Arabidopsis thaliana: one gene and its partner. The protein of the gene in region 1 interacts with the protein of each later gene in a pairwise test. Each region holds a gene or a part of one and is shown on either strand. Other genes may lie near its edges.

Region 1 (4,069 bases):
CCGGAGAGAGATAGGAAGAAGGTGAAGAACATTAAGCATAACGGGAACATCTCGTTTGATGATGTGACTGAGATTGCTAGGATCATGAGACCTAGATCTATTGCTAAGGAATTGAGTGGAACAGTGAGGGAGATTCTGGGAACTTGTGTGTCTGTTGGTTGTACTGTGGATGGGAAAGATCCTAAAGATATTCAACAGGAGATTCAAGATGGTGAAGTTGAGATTCCTGAGAACTGAAGAATTTGGAAATGATGGTGTGTTTGTTTCCTTTGCCTTTTGAGATTTTAGTTTCTTCTTCTTATGTTTTGTTTAGAACAACGACAAGTCAGTTTTGGATTGTTATTGCTGCTTTTTTATCTAATCTCAATTTTATGCTTATGCTTAGTTTCTTTCAATTTTATACGAAATGCTTGAACTTGCCTTAGGAAATTGAATCTGCGTTTAGTATCGTATCTTGCTGATAATCTAGAAGAACATTGATTCGTGATTCGTCTCTCTTGGAATGTTTGTGAAGCTAAATTGTAGAAATGAAGAAGAACAATGGCAATGCTTGTAGTTCATTCATCTGTATTCGCTAAATTGTGTTTGCCTCTCTTAAATTGGTTTCTTTGTTCTTCATCTCCCATTCAACACATTGTGTAGGGTATATAATCGAAGAAAAAGTTGTCTTTCTCGATTTTTTTTCTCAATACACCAAACTTACATACGTTGCAAAGATGAATTGAAAAACATTTCACTCGATTTAATATGGAATCACACAGTTAGAAATAGAAAATAGGAAGAAGCTAAGATACGAGTGGAAAAGAGGATATGTTTCTACATAATTGTAGGCACACTTTTTTTCTTTCGTGGCTAAGTTTAAACGTTGGCTGCACTTCTGAATGAACCGAGGGACTTGGAGCCTGAGGCCCTTAGAACGAATTGGTGATAAAATGCAGCTATCGTAGCTCCAATGAATGGTCCCACCCAGAATATCCACTGTAATTATGTAAGACCAAAAACACTTTAGTATTTTTCCTCCGTCCATAATTTGATTAATTTTAAATAATTAAGAAATAGAAACGTACGTGGTCATCCCATGGCTTGCTCTTGTTAAAGATTACGGCGGCTCCGAAACTCCTAGCCGGGTTGATACCGGTTCCGGTGATCGGAATAGTGGCCAAATGTACCATAAACACCGCAAACCCAATCGGAAGTGGCGCCAAAACCTTTCGTTTCATAATTCATAACCCAAAGTATTAGTTAATGATATCATGTAATTAACTAACGATCTTATAACTGATAAAAATAAATACTAACCGGAACGTGGGAGTCTCTAGCGTTGCGTTTGGGATCAGTAGCGGAGAAGACTGTGTAGACAAGCACGAATGTTCCGATGATCTCTGCCGCGAGTCCGGTGCCTGTATTGTAGCCGTCAGCTAGAAAGTTGGCTCCTCCACCGTAATTAACATAGTGAGAGCTTTGAAATGCCTTCACAAACCCAACTCCACAAATAGCACCCAAACACTGAGCCACCATGTAAAGCACCGCCCTAATCAGCGATACCTTCCGGGCTAAGAACAAACCAAACGTCACCGCAGGGTTTATGTGACCACCTACAAAGTTCTTGGGGTTAATTTCAAATAAATTACAAAACAAAGGACAAATTTGAAAGGTCCACAAATGTTAAATTTTCTGAACCGGGTAATAAACCGGACCGGTTTCGATATATGATACCTGAGATACCGGCGGTGCAGTAGACAAGGATGAAGATCATGCCACCAAAAGCCCACGCGATGCCAAGGATTCCGACGCCGCCGCAGTCAACTCCACCGGCTTTTGTGTCGGACTGAATCTTGTAACCAATGACAGTTAAAACGGTGACGTACAAGAAGAGGAGAGTGGCTACGAACTCGGCGATGACTGCTCTGTATAAAGACCACTTGGTAAGCTCCTCTGCGTCGAAAAACGGTGTTGGCGGAGGATCTTCGTAATCTCTCGTCTGAAATCCATCAGGTCCTTCCACGTCTTTAGCCATATGTGTTAATGGATGTTTCTGGACTTTCTAAGTAAGTGTTTTGCTTTGTGGTTGTTGTAGGGCTTGTGGTTGTGAGATGAAGAATAAAGGTTCTTTATATAGAGTGAGCTCTTGGTTTGTGCTACTGTTGATTTTGACACTTTTGATTTAATGTCACAACTTACAACATTGATGTTTTGTTTTATGGTATTTTTTTTTGTAACGAATGCATAAGTTGGTTTAGTGGTAATTTTTTTTTTTTGCTAAAGAAGTTGGTCAGTGGTAACTAAAGGAAATCTAAAACAAGTATTAATTTTTTTTTTATCTCAGTAACTTGATAATCTAAATCAGTGAGAACCAATACAAAAAATCTCCTAAAGATATAATTTAACATTTCCTGAAAAGTTTATACAAATAGTATAAATCTCATACTGTAATTCATTTCCAAATAACTAGATTGTTAAATGCTACTGATAGATCACCGTCCCAAGAGTCACGTCATTAAATTTTGTTAGGCATCACCCAAAAAATTTGACCGTTGACAAAAAACCAAAAACCGATAAAACGTGAGCAATTATATAAGTGAACATATTTGACAATGATGATCATATATACTTGTGTGTTAACATACATACCTTATCTTTTAGCTGTATCCACATTGCATATACTGTAGGTGCTTTTTAAGTTTTTGATAAATAATGATTTTATATGATTAGTAAAGTATTTGTCTCGATCGTGTCACACGATTCTTTTGTTTTTCTGCCGTTTCAAGCACATTCTGGATCATTCGTGCATCTTTTTCATGATAGTTGGTAAACATATAGTATATATAGTAAGCGAATATTTGTATAGGAAAATGAAATGGTATTTTAGGTCATTTTGTATAATAAGTTAAATAACGCATAAATACGTAATTTATTTGAGACTTAACTTTTTCGGTGTAAGCTGAGTGTTAAATCTGTCATAGGACACTACAATCAAATTATAACTCTATATATACTCCATCGACTATATATTGACTCAACATATCATGATAGAATTACATATGAGTCAGATGTAATTTTATGATCTGTTATTGTGGATTCATTGTTAGCAAGCATATATATACGTGTGTTCAGAAGACTAAAAAATTTACTATGAAATGAAAGAACATTTATTTGTTTGGAACAAAAAATGTTTATCATAACAAATTAACCCATTTTTCCACAGAGAACAATACCATTCGTAACCAATATCGAGTAGACAATTCTTTAACAAAACAGAAAGCGACAAAGATGAAAGAAAACAAAAATAAAACCAGGGGAGAGACCGAGAGAGAGAGAGCACCTTTCTGACGTGGAAATATAATCCAATAAGAGCAGAGAAATGTCGCTACAACGATAAGGATATTGTGACGTGGCAAAACATTGGCCATGAACACCACATTACACCACATTCCTTTTGTCTATGTACACTTTTTATTTTTCCAATTTATTTTTGTAGACAGACTAGTGATTAGTGAATACTGAATAATATACGTAAGAAAATTGCAATTGGAAATTTGGAATTGAGGAGTGAGAGCAAATGATTGTTGAATATGGGGACTAAACAACGTGGCATAAGAGGAGTGGTTGGGACGGCTGAACTGGAGTTGGACTTAATCTGTATGGACGGTGCCGATGCAATTGACGGAGCTAATCAATTCTATATGGGGCGGTTTCTCCGGTCCAGTGGACCCAACTTTCATCATATTTTCTACTTTAGTGGAAACATAACCCGTGAAGCGACGCCGTTTCTTTTATCATGTCCATGTGATAAATTATGTTTTTGTTATATGGTAGGGTTAGCTGAGAGCTATCAAAAGACTCTTTTTTATCCACCTAATAGATTTGATTTGTAACGTTAAGAGCATAGGAAGTCAATTTAATCGTTACTAATTACATGCATAAGAACTAGTATAACTATATAAGGAGCTCCTTCTAGAAATTAAATGAAGGATGATAGAATCTAGATAATCAGAAATTTTACTATTGATCAATCTAGCTATCTCGTAGTTCAAAAAGCTTTATCGTTAACAAGTAACAACTTTCAAGT
Region 2 (5,430 bases), on another chromosome or scaffold:
TCGCCATTATTAAAAACCGGATTTTGTGTTTATGTGATGTGGATGATGATGAATCTCTGGCACCGATTCTCTATTTATAAGTGCTGGAGACTCAGAGGTTTAAAGTTAGGGTTATCAACTTCAATTAATTATAATTTTCTGTGCCTACTCTGTTAGCCCATTTTCTTTGTCAGTGTAACATTTATTTGCCTTGATGATTTTTTTTTTCTTGCGTTAATAAAAAGAAGATTATGTCTCATAGTTATCGATTACAATTGTACATGTGTCTTTGTGTGGTTAGATATAGAATTACAATTCTACATGAGCTTGTATTGTCCTAAGAGAAATGTATCAATAGACATTGTTTTGTTTTGTGCCTCTCAAATCTTTCCCAACCAAAAAAGTAAAGAAAGTTCATGAAAGTTGGTTTAGTCAAAACTAACCTGAGCTCATCTGCACCTACTCATATAAAGAGATAAGATGACACGTGGACAAGTTATAGATATGCATATAAAGAAAACAGGAGATGCTATGCTCTACCTGAAAAAGATGATCCAATGTATCAGTGAAAGGGTGCTGAGCAACGGCCTTCTTACTCTCTTTTTCATCACCTGCAAAAAGAAGGTAACATTCTTTTGGGACAAAGTGGGTTCTACTATGCTTTGTCGATCACCGACAAAGTTTTGCTCAGATGGAAACTTCCTTTACTTGACTGATTCAGAAGTAAGAACACCTTTTGACAAGATGGTTTAGTGACCTGTTGTTGTTTCTAACTCAATAAACACAAGAGTTCTACAGTTCCAACATATCAACTTTTCCTTCCAAATTCTGTTTGCTCCGTGACAGTTTTGAATGAAAAGTGCTAACAGTGGCACTTGCAAGACTCAAACAATTTGACATAACCAAAATGTGACTAAAGACTACACAAACTATCTATGTGAGTTTCAACTTTCAAGAGAACAACATGGAATACAATTTTAACTAACTGAAGATCAAAGAACTTACAATGAAAAAGGCATCCCAGAGATATTTTCTGCCTGTAATATTATTTCTTTGTATACAAAGAAAGAATTGTATTTACAACAAAGTTAATGGTTTTTAACTTTACAAGAATCTTCTCTAAAACAGCCAGGTGAGGGTTGGAACTTGTAATATGTAGCAAAAGTTAAATATGTGCCGCTTAGACAAGCATATACTTTGAAACAGCTATGTGAATACAAGGTCAGATATATGAACACTACTGTCAAAGATATTACCCCTGCAAATGTTGCAATGCACTTGAGAACAGAGAGTTCTTCTTCTGGTCTTTGATTGGGGAATTTCCCCTGAGCATTGAAATCGGATAGCAGTTTGTCCTTCAACTTAAATGAATCCATTAACCAAGCAGAAGATTCTGCCTCGTTTGCTGGAATCTCCTTTAGTAGAACTCGCCGAACGTGGATATGTACTTCTGAAGGATCCGTCCCGAATACATTGTCCATGAAAGATGGGCAGCGAGGTTTATATGCGATAGTCAAATCATATACTGCATTGCAATAAAAGGAAATGCCTTGTTCAGTTAATTGTGGTCATGAGGTCCCACATGGGTCATTGGAAAAATAGAAGATATGCACGCCATCATAATGTCGTCAAAACACATAAGTGTTTGCATAACATGTGGCTTGAGATACTACTATATGTACACCAACATTTGTAACAAAATTTCATGAACCATACCTGCATCCAAAGAGTTATGAAGAACTTCTAAGCAAACGCCAAAACCCCTTGTTTTTGGTAGAAGTACGTTTGATAGTGCTGGAAGACCAACTTCAGCTGCAAACTTTTGGCTTCTCTTGCATTTCTCTTCACTGCATATCAAATAAGGAAGGTCTCAGTAATAGAAAGAAGATATACTAAGAGCAGCATTTCAAACATTCATGCAATAGCAGGCAAATTATTGTAAATGAGGGTGACTGGTTTAAGATATTTGCAAGACAGATGCGCATGGTGTTAAATATCCTACCAAAGAGAAACTGAAAGATATCTTCGAAGATTCAGATTAATAATGTATTAGCTAATATATCTAGAGCAGTTAAATCAGATAGGGAGCATATAGTACGTGAAATCGGTTCCTTCAGGGAATAGAGCAAGCCATAAGGGTTCTTGAGGATCCTTAAAAGATGAAAGCATTTGAAGCAAAACAGGTTCGTCGACCTCCCGCTTCCTCTCCACCGGGATAAATTCCAAAACATGAAAGCCCCAACCAAAAATAGGTAATTTCATCAAGCTGCTCTTGAGCACGTATTTGATGTAGCCAAGACAGCCTTTTCTCAAGGCAATATTCCACAGATACATCCAATCCACCTCCGTCCTGTGATTTGCAATAAGCAAAACACGTTTCTCAACCGGAATGATGTCTCCAGAGAACACCACAGTTGTCCCGTTAACCGTTTCAAACAGGTAAGGCCACAAAGCTAACCAGAGACCAAAGATTAACGAAACAACTTTTCTAGATTGTTGCACACTCAGAAGCCGTAGACCTAGAGCAGCTATTGGTGCAAAGTACAGCAGAAACATAAAAGCAGTAGACAGAAACACCAGCAGGATCATCAAGCCCCTCAGAATCCTAAGCGGAGTCAAGGGGCGGTTCTTTAAGTTATCAGATTTCAGATCCCCGCAAACTTCCATCTTTTTTCCAGATAAACCTCAAGACAAAACTGCAGCAATGAGATTCAAATATTACTCAGTGCCACCTTTAAGTTCCCCACAAAGATTGAGTTTTTTTCTTTTTTTGGTAAATACAAAGACTCAGTTGCAGAAAAGATACTATAAAAAACCAATGCAAGAACCTAAATATATGCAATTTGAGTATCAATACCAAACAATTAATCTAACAGTAGACATAGAGATTAGAGATTCCTAATCAACACAGCCATGAATGAAGAATATATAAAAAGCCATTTTTTCTTACATAAGTGGGAAAAAGGTTGCAAATTTGAATCTCAGGAACATGAATTAAGCTCTAAAAGCAACAATGAACAGAGAATTCCTTATCTATGAGCTCAGTGGAAGATTCAACAAGCGAATAATGAGAAAAGATTCGTCATTTAGTTAGTATCTAAAGCTGCATAATTTCGAATCTATAATCATCAATATTCCAAAACAAAAACACAGAAATCACGGAGACAAAACATCCTCAAATTGGGAAAGACTTGTGAATACCGCAACTAAAAAATCAGATCCCACGTGATATAAGATCAAAGAAGAGACAGAGCAAGAGAAACACTTCTCTCACGTATCTTCGAAAAAAGCAAAAACAATCTAAAGCACGAGGAACTCGACGAAGTACCTGGAGAAGTATGAAGAAACGGAAGAAGTTGGCGAAGACAAAAGAGGATAATTGTTAAATGGTGGAAGAACAGAGGAATGCGAATCTCAAACGAAGTTTCAGAGAAGGATACGTTTCGGGTCGGATCTAATTAAGACAGTGGGGATGATCAGAGACGGTAGGGTGCACCGTACTATAGCGATCTGATTCGCTGAGTGCGAAAAGGTCAAAAGTTGCAGGGAAGACAAAATCCACAAAGGTGACACTTGCGACCCGATAAAATTCTCCTGGCGTCGTTACACTTTTTGTGAAACTCAAACGTGAAGCAAACTCTAATTAATACTTTTCCCCACTTATTATTATTGGTTGTACCAAACAAGAATAAAATCTAGCTTTTAATGATTTATATTTTTTAATTTAATACATTGAGCTTGATATTTTTTCATAAATTTTGGATCTGAAGTATTAATATACGAGTTTCATGGGGACCAGATGTTTTTATTAATTATTTCGATGTCATTTATTTTTATTTTTACAATAGTATAAGTTTTTTTTTGGAATTTTTGACCAAATTCCCTTATTTTTACAATGGTATAAGTATATTTTCTTCTAAGATAAAGTTATATCCAAAAAAATATAACAATTCATGTATAAAATGCTGAAGAAAAAATCGTGTCTAGTTGATTTTTTCTAAGTAAAATTTTTCCTTGAAATTGTTTTCTCTAGTTGTTGTTAAGAAAGAACTGTTTGTTTAGTGAATATATTGGACTCATTATTGTAGAAGACTAAGATAAGTTCTTTCTTTATTATAATGAAACAATTTGATTATAAAATATATCATTGACCAAGAAAGTAAACTATTAAAAGTGATAGTAGACCAAATATGAGGATGTGATTGATCGGTTCAAAAGTTAATCTCCGCCACCGATTCGTCAACTTACAGTAGGGGTACATAAGCAATAAAAACAAATATGAGGTCAAAACTAAAATAAGTAGTAATATAAGGGTTAATGAATAAATAATCAGTTCACGGTGCCGGCGAACTTGATATTTTTCTCACTCTTCCCTCTTCTGCTTCAGAATTATCGGGAGAACTTCAGACATGCTATGCTCCGACCGAATCTCATCATCTATCAATTTCATGTGACTTATTAAATTGTTCTGTATTCTAAGAAGTGGTTCCGTAGAAGCGGAGCAATGCCGATTTCTATGGAACTTCCAGTTTTCTCTACTCTCCGAGTACCATTGTTCTCTCGTTTAGCTTTACTTCCTACTTTTGGAGTTCCGTTTTCGTCCCTTGGTGCTACGACGCGATTGAACTGTACATCTCGAAAGGCGCGTCGGATTTGCGTGATGTGCTTAGTGAGGGATTCTGCTCCGATAGAGACGTGCGAGAGAGCTGGAGAAGATGGGTCTGACGAGTTCATTGAGGTTCTTGTCATCGGTAGTCGCAAGGAGTCTATCATGGATTCATGCTTGGATTCTCCTTTTCCTTCTCTTCCTCTGCGATTTTGGTATATGCTCGACTTTTGTTCGGCCCATGATTCTGTTTTATCTACTAGCCACTTTGTTGTAGTCTAATTTTCGAAATCTGATAGTTTATTGTTACTGACTTTCCTAGCACACTCCTAAATTGTGTAGCTTTCTTCTAGTGACGAAGCTTATGGCTTGAATTGATTACGTACGCTCTGTGTATTCGTGAAAGGGATCAAATTTAATTGCCAAATCTACTTTTTCAGGAGTATTAGCAAGGACAGCTCTGGAGGTTTAGTGTTACAGCAGAGGCTCAATCACCAAGGTCCATAATCTATTCTTTTCCTGTTTCTTCTTGCCGTTTGAGTTTTGAATTTGATTAAAAACAGATTCTTGAACAACTAGCATATATTTAGCTAGTTGTTCAAGAAGATTAGAGGGATATGCTATCTTTCTTACTTATCGCTTCTCTCTTTCTGTTTACAGATAATGCCTTGAAGACCATGAATCCAATTGAGCTGTTACAGTCACGTCCAAGGGCCTTCATCCTTGTTTGTACTTTTCTCGCCTAACATTGTTTGTGTTCTGTTTTCTGCTACAAAAACGTTTTTGAATTTCGCAGTTCCATAGGTAGCAAAAGATACACAGTGTCTAATTGATCAGTGATTATT

The links.
Region 2: the proteins of RD28 (region 1) and LPAT4 interact in a protein complementation assay, tested with the Arabidopsis thaliana proteins (one large-scale study listed by BioGRID).

Annotation. Positions count from the first base shown.
Region 1 is NC_003071.7:15,615,727-15,619,795, reverse strand, and holds RD28 (Aquaporin-like superfamily protein), read right to left. Parts: upstream 2,162-4,069; 5' UTR 2,018-2,161; coding exon 1,717-2,017; intron 1,596-1,716; coding exon 1,300-1,595; intron 1,209-1,299; coding exon 1,068-1,208; intron 979-1,067; coding exon 859-978; 3' UTR 641-858; downstream 1-640. Other genes in the region: AT2G37190 (Ribosomal protein L11 family protein), read left to right, coding at 1-237.
Region 2 is NC_003070.9:28,168,995-28,174,424, reverse strand, and holds LPAT4 (lysophosphatidyl acyltransferase 4), read right to left. Parts: upstream 3,582-5,430; 5' UTR 3,308-3,581; exon of another isoform or gene 2,676-3,307; 5' UTR 2,647-2,675; coding exon 2,078-2,646; intron 1,827-2,077; coding exon 1,696-1,826; intron 1,505-1,695; coding exon 1,068-1,504; 3' UTR 747-1,067; downstream 1-746. Other genes in the region: TLP-3 (thaumatin-like protein 3), read right to left, coding at 1-7; ARC3 (GTP binding protein), read left to right, coding at 4,484-4,800, 5,026-5,084, 5,246-5,310.